2 linked regions of the Mytilus edulis genome follow. The protein of the gene in region 2 interacts with the protein of the main gene of each other region in a pairwise test. Links are inferred from orthologs where the notes say so. Each region holds a gene or a part of one and is shown on either strand. Other genes may lie near its edges.

What was found.
Region 1: the proteins of C-Jun-amino-terminal kinase-interacting protein 4-like (region 2) and kinesin light chain-like interact in binary tests that used the Caenorhabditis elegans proteins (3 or more experiments, as listed by UniProt). The link is inferred for Mytilus edulis from reciprocal best matches to the Caenorhabditis elegans genes unc-16 and klc-2.

What each region holds. Positions count from the first base shown.
Region 1 is NC_092346.1:18,417,271-18,425,042, reverse strand, and holds the start of kinesin light chain-like, read right to left. Parts: upstream 3,027-7,772; 5' UTR 2,732-3,026; intron 1-2,731. UniProt on the Caenorhabditis elegans protein: Kinesin is a microtubule-associated force-producing protein that may play a role in organelle transport. The light chain may function in coupling of cargo to the heavy chain or in the modulation of its ATPase activity.
Region 2 is NC_092351.1:70,275,401-70,282,629, reverse strand, and holds the start of C-Jun-amino-terminal kinase-interacting protein 4-like, read right to left. Parts: upstream 3,007-7,229; 5' UTR 2,842-3,006; coding exon 2,545-2,841; intron 1-2,544. Other genes in the region: uncharacterized protein, read left to right, coding at 3,068-3,233, 4,885-4,985, 5,649-5,718, 6,135-6,265, 6,641-6,729. UniProt on the Caenorhabditis elegans protein: The JNK-interacting protein (JIP) group of scaffold proteins selectively mediates JNK signaling by aggregating specific components of the MAPK cascade to form a functional JNK signaling module.

The sequences.
Region 1 (7,772 bases), on a different chromosome or scaffold from region 2:
TCAGAAATGTTTGTGTGCAATTATTATTCCGATTGTCGAACAAGTGTCATAAATTAGAATTTTAGGAAATGCTGCATATTGTCAAAATTTAATGAAATACAAGCTTTTCTTATTTGCAAAACCTACATGTACAATGTAACCTGTTGCAAATTTTTGCAGTATTTTAAACATTTTGAATGTACCTGTTTATATCATTTGTGTATATAATTGCCCAAATTGCAATGCAGCGATCATGATTTATAAAAAAATCAGATAAATGCCAAAAAATGTACATGTACTATGCATTATCAGGCCCATTCTACATGTTATAAAATTAAGAGAAAAAAAATAATTATGTCAACATCCACATGATACATTTATCAGTGAGCATGCTTGTTGGACAGTACATGTATAGGCACTATGCATCAAACTTTAATGATTGAATTCAACTGAATAGGCAGAGGCAAAAGTAATGTTACCTGCAGCTTTTAAAAGGGCACTCTTAGAAAGATCTGTGTGGAAACTACACTTTTAAGTTTTAAATTAGGGCACCTATTACATAAATGTAAAGGCAATAGGTAGGGATTAGTCAAATTAAACAATCGTTTCATATATATTCAGGGTTAGGAAATAAAGGTAAGAAATGAATTAGCATGTGTTGCAATTATTAGTGTACCAGCAATGTACAAATGATGTATACTTGAACATTTGACAATAATTTTAAAATGTGTTTTTCTCAAGTATGCTTCTTCTAAGCAATTAATTATAAGATTAATTTAAATTTCGTATATTGTTTGTGTCTTATTACTATTTTTATTAAATTGAACTGTTAGATGAAGTTAATAGAATAAATGTGCGAAGTCATGTATTTTTATCATTATTTCATGATGCACAAATATTATGATTAGTATATATACATTAAAATACAAAATGTTGCATGTATGATGATATTTGATAAAAGAATTTGCCATAAACATCTTCATCTCCAAGTTATGATTAAACAAGAATGTGTCCATAGTACACGGATGCCCCACTCGCACTATAATTTTCCATGTTCAGTGGACCGTGAAATTTGGGTCAAAACTTTAATTTGGAATTAAAATTAGAAAGATCATATCATAGGGAACATGTGTACTAAGTTTCAAGTAGTTGTGACTTTAACTTCATCAAAAACTACCTTGACCAAAAACTTCAACCTGAACTTCGCACTTTCATTATCTATGATCAGTTAACCATGAAATTGGGGTCAAAACTATAATTTGGCATTAAAATTAGAAAGATCATATCATGGGGAACATGTGTACTAAGTTTCAAGTGGATTGGACTTCAACTTCATCAAAAACTACCTTGACCAAAAACTTTAACCTGAAGTCGGACGAACGAACGAATGGACGGACGAACGAACAAACGGACGAACGAACGAACAGAGGCACAGACCAGAAAACATAATGCCCCTCTACTATCGTAGGTGGGGCATAAAAAAAAGCAATTGATTACTAACTCATAATGTAATCCTGATCATACTAACATACTAGATTTCATTCATCCAAATATTGACAAAAATAAAGATGTATGACTTCCTGATGGAACACATGAATTAAATCAAAGAAAACCCACATCATTACCAGGCCACTGTTAACAATAAGGTCTGAAAGATTAACATGCCCGCCCAGTGGAATATAAAAGTACAAAAAGTACCATTAGTAGGCATTACAAGGTGTCGATAAGCATGATAAGTCTAGATTTCAAGTTCAACTGTCTTTTACATGTGTTAAATATCTTTCACTCATGCCAAATTGTGATGATGCAGATTTTACTTGGTATCTAGATTCCTTGACCCAATTCTGAATCCGAGTCTGTTCGCACACTATCACGTTCGCCCCCTTTCAGTTTTGAACCCTACACGTTCACGCCCCATTTTTATTGGTTTTGTGTTTGATAACTTTGTATAAATCAAGCTTTGGCAAGTGTATTACTGTAAGTGTTACTGTATTTGTTATCATTGTCCTAAATTAGATTGAGACAATGTGGTTTTTTTTGTGTGTTTAATAAATCTTAATCTTGTTTTGGTTAAGTGTATTGCTCACTTTTATTTCATTGTTTCAAAATAAAGTGAGACTATGACAACATATTTTTTTTTTTGTGTTGAATAAATTTTAATCAAGTTTTGGTTCTAGTGCATTGCTATGATTTTTTGTTTCATTGTTTCAGATCAAAAGGGCCAAGCTGTTAAAATCTTTTGTGTTTTTCATTTAAAATCTTCAATGTTTTTACTCATACCCAGCTAAACATGCTAAATACATGCAGTTTTTACATCAAATCAACTAAAAAAACAATCTTGATTTTCTAACTATTCAACAGGAATTTTATTTAAAATTGGGTGCGAACGGACCTGGGAGTGAACCTGCGAGATGCGAACATGTAGGGTGCGAAACTGTATTGGGCGCGAACGGACCTGATACCCCTGATTCCCGAACACTCAGGTATTTTTGACACCTGCAACTTATCAAAAAGAATAAGGACCTTAGAGCTACAGTTCCACAGATACTGTTCTGCATGGCCTGAAAGGGTGGGGTGGTTTGCACAAGTCTACATTGCCCTAAAAATAAAACAGGTTTTCATAGTAGAGGCTAGAGCCGATTGTACTTGGAGGCATAACATGTCAACTTAGCATGCTTAAGTTAACGTCTAAGCTAAGTGGATATAGAAATAAATACTTATTGAGAATATTGTCCTGAAATATGTTAATTACCTTAAAATTTTCAGATATGTATTACTATTAAAAATTACAAAATCTATACATCTTGTTGAGCTGGACTTTCCTGTCAGACTTGACAGTTGGTGGGTATTCTAAGTTGCAAATCAACGTCGGCACCAATGTTTTCGGCCATGTGCAGTGGTGTTTTAGCAAAGCTTAAATTTATAATGTCTGTCTGTGTATTTAAATTTTAGTAGAGCTATAACAGCAAAATATAGTGTTTATGTGTACAACTTCACTCCCCACACAAGTAACATGGCCGTTTTCATGAATAACTGGTTTTGATAAAAGACAGATTTTATTCTGAAATTTATAAAAAAAATCACTCAGGACTAGAATCTCTGGTTATATTTATAATCATCGTAAAATGTTCAGTTCCAAGAATACAAAATAAGTAAAAGATCTTAATTGAGGTTATTGGAAGAAAAAAAATACAGTAAGATTTAATAATGCCGTTGAACATTTATTGTAAAATCATCAATCGAAAAGGTATCCGGTCGTTCCGGCCCCAAACCGATCCGGCCCCAAGTCAATCCGGCCAACGTCGATCCGGCCCCATAATAAAATATGAATAAACTATATTGATTTTGGGGGAATTTGTGACAATTTTTAACAGTATAAATAGAATTTGCAAAAAGTGTCCGATGGTGGATGACATCAGGAAGTTAGTGAAGTATTGGAGTACCAGTTAAAGAACTATAGATATATTTTAATATATAATTGGTTTGTTTATTCAACAATTATCTGATGATTGTGAACTAAGGTAATGCCACTCGTAATCACTTAAATCAATCAAATCCTGATTAATTAAAGTTACGTAATCAACAAGTTTTTTATACATGTTATAGTTTGATCTTCTGGTTGGTTGCATTTAAATAATAATTAATTGTATTTTTTTTTCAGGTAACATCATAGACTATCTTTGTTTATAGGTGGTGCGCCTTATTAACCTATACTAGTTTAAACTTAATTTAATAAATCTAAATATAAATAAAATTAATAAAATTAATTATTGTTTTTAACTTCTATAAGGGATTGAGAATTTTCGTTTTCGAGACTTTGGTTTTTGACTTATACTTTTGCATCTAATTTGTAATAAAAGAAAAATACAGTATGGTTGTTATGCTTTCCTTTTTTGTTTTTGTTTTTTCTTCATCTGTGGTTGTAAGTGTTATGTGTTAATAATAACGTATTGTGTCACTTGTTTATATTTGTTTTAAATATGATAGTCAGTTGCTCTGTCGTATTTCTTGAATACTATAGGTAGAATATGTTTGATCAGTTGCCCCAGCCAGTGGTCCCGTAAGAATCGTGTATACTATCCCACGGAAGAAAAAATATTTTTTATTGGGGTCGGATCGACTTTACAAATATATGGGCCGGATCGACGTGGGACGGATCGACTTGGGCCGGATCGACGTGGGGCCGGATCGACCCGATAGCTCGAACAAAAACGGCTCCTCTAATTTTTGCAGAGACCAATGATTTGTATGGTAAATACACATCCTTGTAACATTTTTACAGTTATAATTGTAAAAAGTAATACATTATAATTACCAGAATTTTATGTCTTCGAGGGTCGTCTATGACTTTTGTCATTGTCCAAAACCGACTTAGCCATTGTTTAACTTGATGTATTCACATTTACTACGGTATGCCAATAATTAAGAAATTTATTTTATTTTGTTATCCATAAAGTCAGAAAATAATATTTAAAAACCGTACGGATCATTCGAACAAAAAACTTTAGGTCTAAATTATATTTTCTGATTAAATTTTATAGCACATAGCACTCACAAGAACACTTCGTAGAGATCTAAAACATCACGAACCCGACCGGAACTGTCCCCGGATGGTACACATTAGTGCATGATGCAAGTGTTAACAGCTCTTTCAATTTGTTGGCATCATGTATAGTTAGTTGGTCGTGCTGTTGCTGCGAGGTATACAAAAATTGTACAATTTAAAAGATGAATTTTAAATGAAAGTCATCTATGTATCATCAGATACATATAATACAATAATATCTTTGGTATCATGCACTGCATATCAAGTCAGCGCTTTCGTCACCATACATAAAATGCTGTTACACAAATTCTGTCCTTGTGTGAATTTTTGCTTTAATTGCAGAAAAATATAAAATCCCGTGTTTGGTTTTAGAGCTCATGAACTTATATATTATAGATTAATTCAACCATGTACACGTATTGATCCTTTGTACTTTAATATAAAAAAAAAAAAAAAAGAAGAAAAGAAAATATGGTATAATTGCCAATGAGACAACTCTCCAAAAGAGACCAAAATGACACAGAATTTATCAACTATAGGTCACCGTACGGCCTTCAACAAGTGGCTATCAATACAAGACACAATACTGTGGAAATATATTTGATTATTGTCTATATCTGTAATAACATTTTACAGCCCATTTCATTGAGTGTATAGCTAAAAGTAATATCTTTAGGTCACAGTAAACTACCATCCTTTAAGAGTAGACTAGTCCGATAGAGACAGATAACCAATCTATCGTGTATGTAGGACTAGGTTACTTCAAAAAGAGGGTTGTATACCTTACCTAATAATGACTTCACGGTTCAGCTGGCAAGCAAGCTAACCAAATATATTCCCTGTAGCTACACATTCAATGAAATTGGCTGTAAACTTCTGAAATGTATTGTTGTACCGTTATAGACACTCAAAGTTATGGTCCAACATGATTTCGACACTTATCCATTTTATACATTGCGCAAGATCGTATGCTTTTCTCAGTGAAAATGTTTCTTTTCTTTTTGCATTGCTTGTTTGTGGTCTCATTTTAACATACCTAAACGCCCTGTTAATTATTTTTATGACCAAATGTATCCAGCGAATTCGGTGTAATATTTATATCAAAAATAATCTGAAAACGCCATGGCTAAGAAAGAAAAAGACAAACAGACAAATATTTTTTTTATAGATTTTTATAATTTTTTTTATAGATTAGACCGTTATTTTTCTCGTTTAAATGGTTTTACATTATTAATATTTCAGCCCTTTATAGTTTGCTGTTCGGTGTGAGCCATAGCTCCGTGTTGAAGGCCGTACCTCGACCTATAATGATTTATTTTTATAAATTGTTACTTAGAGAGTTGTCTCATTGGCACTCAACCATATCTTCCTATATCTAAATAATAGTACTATAATAGTACTGGTGGTGATCTCAGATGCTTTGGAAGTTTTAGCACTGATGCAGATCATGCACACATCTGGCACCAGTTGTGTTGCTCATGTTATAACAAACCCGGTTAATAGTCTAATTCTGTGGGATACCTTCGTGAAAAGGGAAAGGGAGTGTATAGTTACTATATATATATATATATATATATATATATATATATATACGTAAGGATTATATCCGATCATCTGTGTAACGGCCAACCAACTCGTGATGGCGTCCGTAAAATTAACCATTTAGAACTCTTGGTTTTATATAGCTTCCTTGTGAGCAGCAACCCTCTGACAGCCAAGGAAATTATGATAGGAAGTACAAATAACAAAGAATTTTAACTTTAAATATTTATTGTTGTTCTAGCATATAGACAAGTATATTGAAGGTTATTTTTGTTAATTTATAATAATTTTAAAAGCATACTATTGGTATTGTTAGTCATCTCAGGAAATCAGATTGTGCTAGAATTTCGTGTCATGCATTTGAGTTTGTCATACGGCTAACTGTTTGGCCTGATGAAGTAAGAAATGTGGCCCAGCTTGGTCATTGGTTATTTCCTTTGATTAAAGGAATCCATCCTATCATACAATTCAAGTTTGCTACTATGCTATTTACAGTTTATTTTACAAACAGGATTATTGGACAGTATTTACAACAACAACTATATATATAGCTGAACCACTTACACATTCAAAAATTATACAGTCAAGCAGAAACTCCATATGATACCTAATTATAATTATACTTCTGACTGGTTAATTAAGATGGATATACAAAGAGCATTCGGTGGAATTAAACAATCATACAAAGGCATCATGCTTACAAGGGGTATTACATGCCAAAAATACCGGTGTCTAGAATATAATAAAGTATTTTTGGAAAAATACCACTTGTAAGCATGTTAAATTTGTACAGAAGCTCAATCGCCAGACATGTCATTATGCATGCAACAAATTAAAACCAAGCCAAACCCTTGAATTGTTCAGAAGAAACAGACACACACACACGATAATCGGTTGGTCTCGTGGTTGTATGTTCACCTCTAGTGCGGGAGATCATTGGTTCTAGAGGGCCCTCATGGGGTTTTTGATTATGTGATTACTTGGCCGTTTTTTTTAATGATTATTTGATTATTAAGCCAAATATTTCATGATTATTTGATTACCTAGGACTGTATTTTTAGTTTATGATTATTTGATTACTAAAGATAAGCAAATATTTAATGATTATGTGATTATATTGGCAAAAAAATGGTGATTATGTGATTACTAGGACCCCCCCCCCCCCCCCCCGCATGAGGGGCCTCGTTCTAGGCCGGGTCAAACCAAAGACTTTGAAATGGGTGTTGTTGCTTCTCAAGTAAGCTTGCAGCATTACGAGCCAGTCGGTGAATTAACATATGTTCGTCATTTAGTGACAACAATTGGCAATCATATCACATCTCATCTCGCATCTCTTCTGCCTCCGAGTTTAGTTGGAATTTGAAATCAAGCTAGGCACTGGGACACAACAGTTAAATATAAATTTTAGGCGGCCTGAGTGCATGCATGCCGCTATTTTCCGGCACCGGCAAAATATAAAAATATATGCAATACCAGTTTACCGGCTCTGATTAAAATATCGCAATTGATTGGAAGCCGGCAAAGTTAAAACAAAACTATTTTTATAGACAATAGCTATTTAGCCAGCGTCGACAATAAACGCATTACGGTGAATTTGATAGTTTGTCGGTTCTTTTATAAGAGTGAATTTTGGTATTTACTTTTGAAAAGTATAAAGAAATGGTGATTGTTAACATAAAAGGATCAAATTAATACTCATATATTT
Region 2 (7,229 bases):
GGTATATCAAAGAACCCCATTTATTCAATTTTTGATGAAATCAAACAAAGTTTAATTTTGGACCCCGATTTGGACCAACTTGAAAACTGGGCCAATAATCAAGAATCTAAGTACATTTTTAGATTCAGCATATCAAAGAACCTAACTGATTCATTTTTTGTCAAAATCAAACTAAGTTTAATTTTGGACCCTTTGGACCTTAATGTAGACCAATTTGAAACGGGACCAAAAGTTAAGAATCTACATACACAGTCATGACAGGTAGATTCGGCATATCAAAGAACCCCAATTATTCAATTTTGATGAAATCAAACAAAAGTTTAATTTTGGACCCTTTGGGCCCCTTATTATGTTGGGACCAAAACTCCCAAAATCAAACCCAACCTTTCTTTTATGGTCATAAACCTTGTGTTTAAATTTCATAGATTTCTATTTACTTATACTAACGTTATGGTGCGAAAACCAAGAAAAATGCTTATTTGGGTCCCTTTTTGGCCCCTAATTCCTAAACTGTTGGGACCTAAACTCCCAAAATCAATACCAACCTTCCTTTTGTAGTCATTAACATTGTGTTTAAATTTCATTGATTTCTATTTACTTAAACTAATGTTATAGTGCGAAAACCAAGAATAATGCTTATTTGGGCCCTTTTTTGGCCCCTAATTCCTAAACTGTTGAGACCAAAACTCCCAAAATCAATCCCAACCGTTCTTTTGTGGTCATAAACCTTGTGTCAAAATTTCATAGATTTCTATTAACTTAAACTAAAGTTATAGTGCGAAAACCAAGAAAATGCTTATTTGGGCCCTTTTTGGCCCCTAATTCCTAAAATGTTGGGACCAAAACTCCCAAAATCAATACCAACCTTCCTTTTGTGGTCATAAACCTTGTGTTAAAATTTCATAGATTTCCATTCACTTTTACTAAAGTTAGAGTGCGAAAACTAAAAGTATTCGGACGCCGGACGACGACGACGACGACGACGACGACGCCAACGTGATAGCAATATACGACGAAAATTTTTTCAAAATTTGCGGTCGTATAAAAATGTACTTTTAAGATATCAAGACTAGAAATGCAAGTAATTCATGTAATTTAGAAAATAGAGAACTTTTGGTAACAAGCATCTTTTCTGGATGTACCTTTATGGGATATAAGACAGATCCCTTGAAAATGCAGGATAAAAGAGAAATCATTCTGACAGACATGCAAAATTATCAGAATTGCCTAACCAGAGGAATTATATTGGGAAAACCCAGATTTTAAATTAAAGTCAAAGACATTTGGTTATAGAAGGGGCCCTTAGGAATTACAATTTTGCATGTTATTATGTAGAGTGAAATTTAAGGTTAAATTATTATGAAAGAAAAAAGTAACTTGACTTCAAATGGAAAAAGAAAAATTATAAAGTATTTACGTCAATCCAATGAATCTTATCTTCAATCACAGAGTTCGGAAATCTTTTGATTCACATAATCTATTATCATGATTATGGCACTGAATCTATATATCTGACAAAGATATCATAAATAAAGCCTGCAAGTATATTTTGTTGCCAGGACCACTAAGGCAGTATGTGATAAAACCAATGCAAAACTGTTCTGTTTAATCAAAAATAATGTCATGTAAATAAGGCACCAAATTAAACTCCAGGGAAATTGTGTTTTCATTACCATGATTACCAGAAATTATAAGAGTATTAATTGTGAGGCCAAATTAATTAGTTACAGAAGTACTTATCTTCCACAACTATAGATGCACCAAAAAAAAAAAATGTAGTCAATATCAAATGACAAAATCACTTTTTTCGATCAATGATATTTATTCATTTACCATGTTTACAAAACAATATTTAGTAAAATATACTTAATATAGTTTACAGTATGACCATTATGAAAAAATGTGACTGCAGTCTGCATATTGAATAATCAATATGGTCAAATTGGTAATGTGACTGAATCAGCCTGTGGCCAAACTTATTTTGTAACTGAAATGCATCAATTTAGCGTACACATGCAGCGGTAGTCCAAACAATTTATCTTGCAATATAAAAAAGAAGATGTGGTATGATTGCCAATGAGACAACTATCCACAAAAGACCAAAATGACACAGACATTAACAACTATAGGTCACTGTACGGCCTTCAACAATGAGCAAAGCCCATACCGCATAGTCAGCTATAAAAGGCACCGATAAGACAATGTAAAACAATTCAAACAAGAAAACTAACGGCCTTATTTATGTAAAAAAATGATCGAAAAACAAATATGTCACACATAAACAAACGAAAACCACTGAATTACAGGCTCCTGACTTGGGACAGGCATATACATAAATAATGTGGCAGGGTTAAACATGTTGCAAGACATCATAATTATTTGAACTATAAACTATAAAAGCAGGGGTTGAGGTGTGATATGAGTATTGAGGGTTTTGAGGATTCAAAGTCGTAGAGATTAAAGGTTTCTGATTAATTTATTTGTGCTCATGCATCGGTTGTTATTATACTCCGCATTAAAGCAAAAGATGTCTCTTGTGAATACCTGATCTGCTACTTTTCGCAGCTGTTTTTCCCTTTCATACTGTGTCAACAACTGCTCATTATCATCTCTCAAGAGTTCCAATTCTACATCTGATTCTTGTTTATCTTGCAGCGCCTGGTCCAAACCTTCTAAAAGACCTACAGTTAATGGCATTAACTCTTTGACTACATCTTCGTCGTACTTTTTAATCATCCTTTCAAATTCTTTGTAAACATTCGTGGCAAGTGCTGAAACCTTTTCTGACATGACATGGCCCTCCTCGTTAGTTCCATACACCGTTTCGGCTATCTCAGCCATCTTTCAAATTTTCAATCAGCTATAAAATATATAATTGAGTTTGCTAAATATAGCTACATTTTGTTTATACGTATGGGATTTGATCAAAAGGAAATAATTCTGTTTTGACGTCTGAGCTGTCGTCCATATTGACAAGTTGATGTATAAATTAATCATGTGATGTACAGAGCATGCGTTGGCGAAAGAATGAGCCACTTCCGGTTTGGGGGCCAATACAAAAACAAACATGACTGGGTTCAGGCACCTCAGGAGAATTTCGGGTGCCATTTCGAAGTTTATTGCACCACAAAAAATACGAGTAACACACTTAAGATTTTCCTCCCAAATACTGCAGGGCAAAACAGTCAGAATAGGATGTGCCTGCGGTTTTTGGGGGGATACAGCTGTGGCTGGTAAGAGTTCAAAGTTTGTATTAGGTCAATTCGTCCCATAAAATCGCCCCAAGTATTACTTTTAAACTTAATTTTAATTAATGATTCCCCCTCCCTAGCAAACAGCAAGACAATATAGAAATATTGTTAAAGATAAATCTAACAAGATTGAAATTTCAAGATTTTTAATTCAATAACATGTTGGGTCAAAATAATTATTTGCTATTAGTATTAGTGTGACAGGATTGCTTCCCTTAGAAAAACTTAGTAGATACTTAGTCAGCCGTAAGCGGTTGAGCTATGGAAGTACTTCTTTAGCTCAGTCGGTTAGCGCGCTGCCTTGTAACACAGAGGTCCCGGGTTCGAGTCCCGGTGGAGACAAGCAATTTTGTAATGAAATTCGTGCTCTCCGGTTACATTGGCGCCCAACAATAATAACCCACGGTTAAAATATAAATATAAAAAAGATGAAAATATCATCATTATAGAGTATAATGACTCTTGAGGTGGGGGAAGTGTAACAGGATTGCTGCCCTTAGAAAAACTTAGTAGTTACTTACATTGTAGTCAGCCGTAAGCGGTTGAGCTAAGGAAGTACTTCTTTAGCTCAGTCGGTTAGCGTGCTGCCTTGTAACACAGAGGTCCCGGGTTTGAGTCCCTGTGGAGGCAATTTTGTAATGAAATTTGTGCTCTCAGGTTACATTAGCATAAATGTAATAATGGGTATTACATCTATGGTATTGGTAGTATGGTGATGTGTTTCTTAGAGTTTATGAATTTGTACACTAAATCCATTGGATGTGTACTGATTAATACTTAAGTCTGGTAATATATTTTTTATTTACTGCTCTAGTTGAAGACTAAGTTGGCTTTGAACTACATTTCAGCAACTTTGAGTACCCTTAATTCAGTGCTTTTTTTTGTCTTACCGTTATATTTGTTTTTCATGTAGAAATTTTTTAATTGTTTTTATTCCTTCTACCAATCTTTGGTTTTGTTTCTCTGACAGTCTTAAGTGTTTTGTATGCTGTTTGCTCTTGTTTTTCTTTTTTTGCCAGGACATTTTAAATTTAGACTCATGGTATCTTTCACCTCTCTTTTGAAGCCATTTAAAAAATGTGCTTGTATTGACATCCTATTTTGCTTGAGAATAAAACATTATCTGTAATCTCTGTTTGGTTAAATTTTGTTGATTCATTTATTATTTTATAAGATTAATTTATGTTTATTAGCTCCTCAATTTATCTATGGTACAAAGTTAGACTTTCTTTAATAGTTAATAATACTTTTTAGCTCCTCAATTGATCTATACTAAGGTACAAAGTTAGACTTTCTATAAGTAGTTTTATATTTTTTAGCTCCTCAATTGATCTATTTGGTACAAATATGACTTTCTATAATTTTAATTTTATGTTATATATTTTAGTTCCTCGATTGATCTATGGTACAAAGTTATACTTTCTATAAATAATTTTATATTTTTTAGCTCCTCAATTGATCTATGGTACAAAGTTAGACTTTCTATAATTTATGTTGTATTTTTTAGCTCCTCAATTGATCTATGGTACAAAGTTAAACTTTCTATAATTTATGTTATATTTTTTAGCTCCTCAATTAATCTATGGTACACTTTCTATAATTTTAAATTTACATGTTATGTTGTATTTTTTAGCTCCTCAATTGATCTATGGTACAAAGTTAGATTACCTGGTGTTTGATTACCTGTCAGAGATCACAATGTCGCTGTTAATTTCAGCTAAACATAAGTATCCCGTAAGTAGATTTTATTTACATGTCACTTTAAGATCATAGATTGAAAGATACTGAATAATTGAATAATGGAGTTGATTGAAGTCATGAAGATGGCTATATGTTATCTTCAAAATGATTGTAATGAAACCAGCCATCCCACACAAATGCAAAGAAATTTTTAATGACATTGAATGTTTTTGTAATGGAATGATAACATTGACTTCACTTAAGGTGGTACCTAACACTACAGGGAGATAACTCTGTAAAATAAGCTAAACGTTTTCATTATGTGGTGTTGTTAAGTAAATATTGAGCTTCTCAATGATCAGTGAAACTGCTGTATAACCAGTGTAATTTTTCTGATAAAATAGTTGGTTCAATTTTTTTGAAATTTTTATATTTTTGTCAAAGGGTCAAAGTTAATATCTTGTCAAAATTTTATGAAATTTAAACAAGCAAAATTAATCTAAGTGAAGATGTTAGGTACAACCTTAATATTTCATTGAAAACCCACCAATTAATAATTTATTTTTTCCCAAAGAAATACAGTGATGGCTTCAATATTGTGTAGCAGATTGACAGTTAAATATGTTGTATTTTTCATTTTGATCACCAACATTATTACATAAACAGCATATTTCACAAATCTATAAAGTAATTCAGTATTAATGTATTTAATTGTAGAATCTAGGGTATGCACCTGATTTTGTACAGATTTGTATGGCACCATTCATCAAAGATATCAAGTCTAAAGGTATTGTTTTATATATATATCAAATAAAGATTGACTGTCATTTCATTGCCAATAAGATTTTTTGGACCCTGTACATTTAGCCATGGTTCATTGACTTTGACTTTTTTTGCATAACTTACACGTTACAGTATTGCTATTTTAATTTTAACATTTGCATTTTACAATCAAAGTAACAAAAAGGTGAGACTTATCTCTGTGGTAACAGTTTACTTTTGCTTTCAGACTCTCCCTCAAATTGGCAAAAATACAACCTGCCTAAAGAATTAAATGGTTTACTTATAAATTAAGTAATTGATTTGGACTTGCAATTGTTTGATTGGAGCAACACTGATGAGTCCCTATGTATTTGGTTGTTTAATAACAGCCTGATATCTTTAATGAATTTTGACAGTATACATTCTTCATATATATCATAGGTATAAAAGTGATAAGTAATGCTGGTGGTGTAAATCCACAGGCCTGTGCTGATGCATTAAAACAGATATGTGCTTCAGTTGGTGTCGAGATGAATATTGCTGTTGTTACTGGTGATGACCTAATGCCTAAGGTATAAAACAGACACAATTAAATGATAGTTGTATAAAATATGTTGCTAGGGATACAAAAAAATATTCATTAGAAAGTAGGCCTTAGAATTTAGGAAGAACTTTTTTAATACTGTTCATAATGACGACAAGATCAACTTAAAATTAAAGGCTAATGTAGAATTTTCCCCTATGTATAATAACCATTTAGGAGAGAATATGTTATGTGAAAATTTGTGACAAATATTGATAATGTTATAAAAATTCTGCTGATATATTAACATAAGAAACAAGGCTTTATATATTGATTGACCACCAATTTTAAAAGTTTTAATACAGTGAATTATTTAGTATGATTTTTCATTTTTCCTTTGTTTAGTATTTATTGCTTATTTCAGAGCAAAGAATTGATCAACAGTTCAATCACTGATATGGATTCAGGTGATCAATTCCCTAAAACTGTACACAGTATGAATGCATATTTAGGGTAAGTTGGTGAAATACATTACAGTTAAGGGTAATGTTTTTTCTCTAAATATGAAAATGAGGACAACGAAGGAGGAGTGTTATAAATGATTGCCAATGAGACAACTTTCCATCAGAGACCAAAGGATTTATCTAACAAAGGGAACGAAGGAGGAGTGTTATAAATGATTGCCAATGAGACAACTTTCCATCAAAGACCAAAGGATTTATCTAATAAAGGGAACGAAGGAGGAGTGTTATAAATGATTGCCAATGAGACAACTTTCCATCAAAGACCAAAGGATTTATCTAATAAAGGGAACGAAGGAGGAGTGTTATAAATGATTGCCAATGAGACAACTTTCCATCAGATACCAAAGGATTTATCTAATAAAGGGTCACTCGCTGTCACATTACAGCCTTAATCAATGAGCAAAATCCATATTTTTAACTATGGAATAAAGGGTCTGCATTACAAAATGTGAAACAATTTTTAAAAGAGAAATAAACAACCTGATTTCT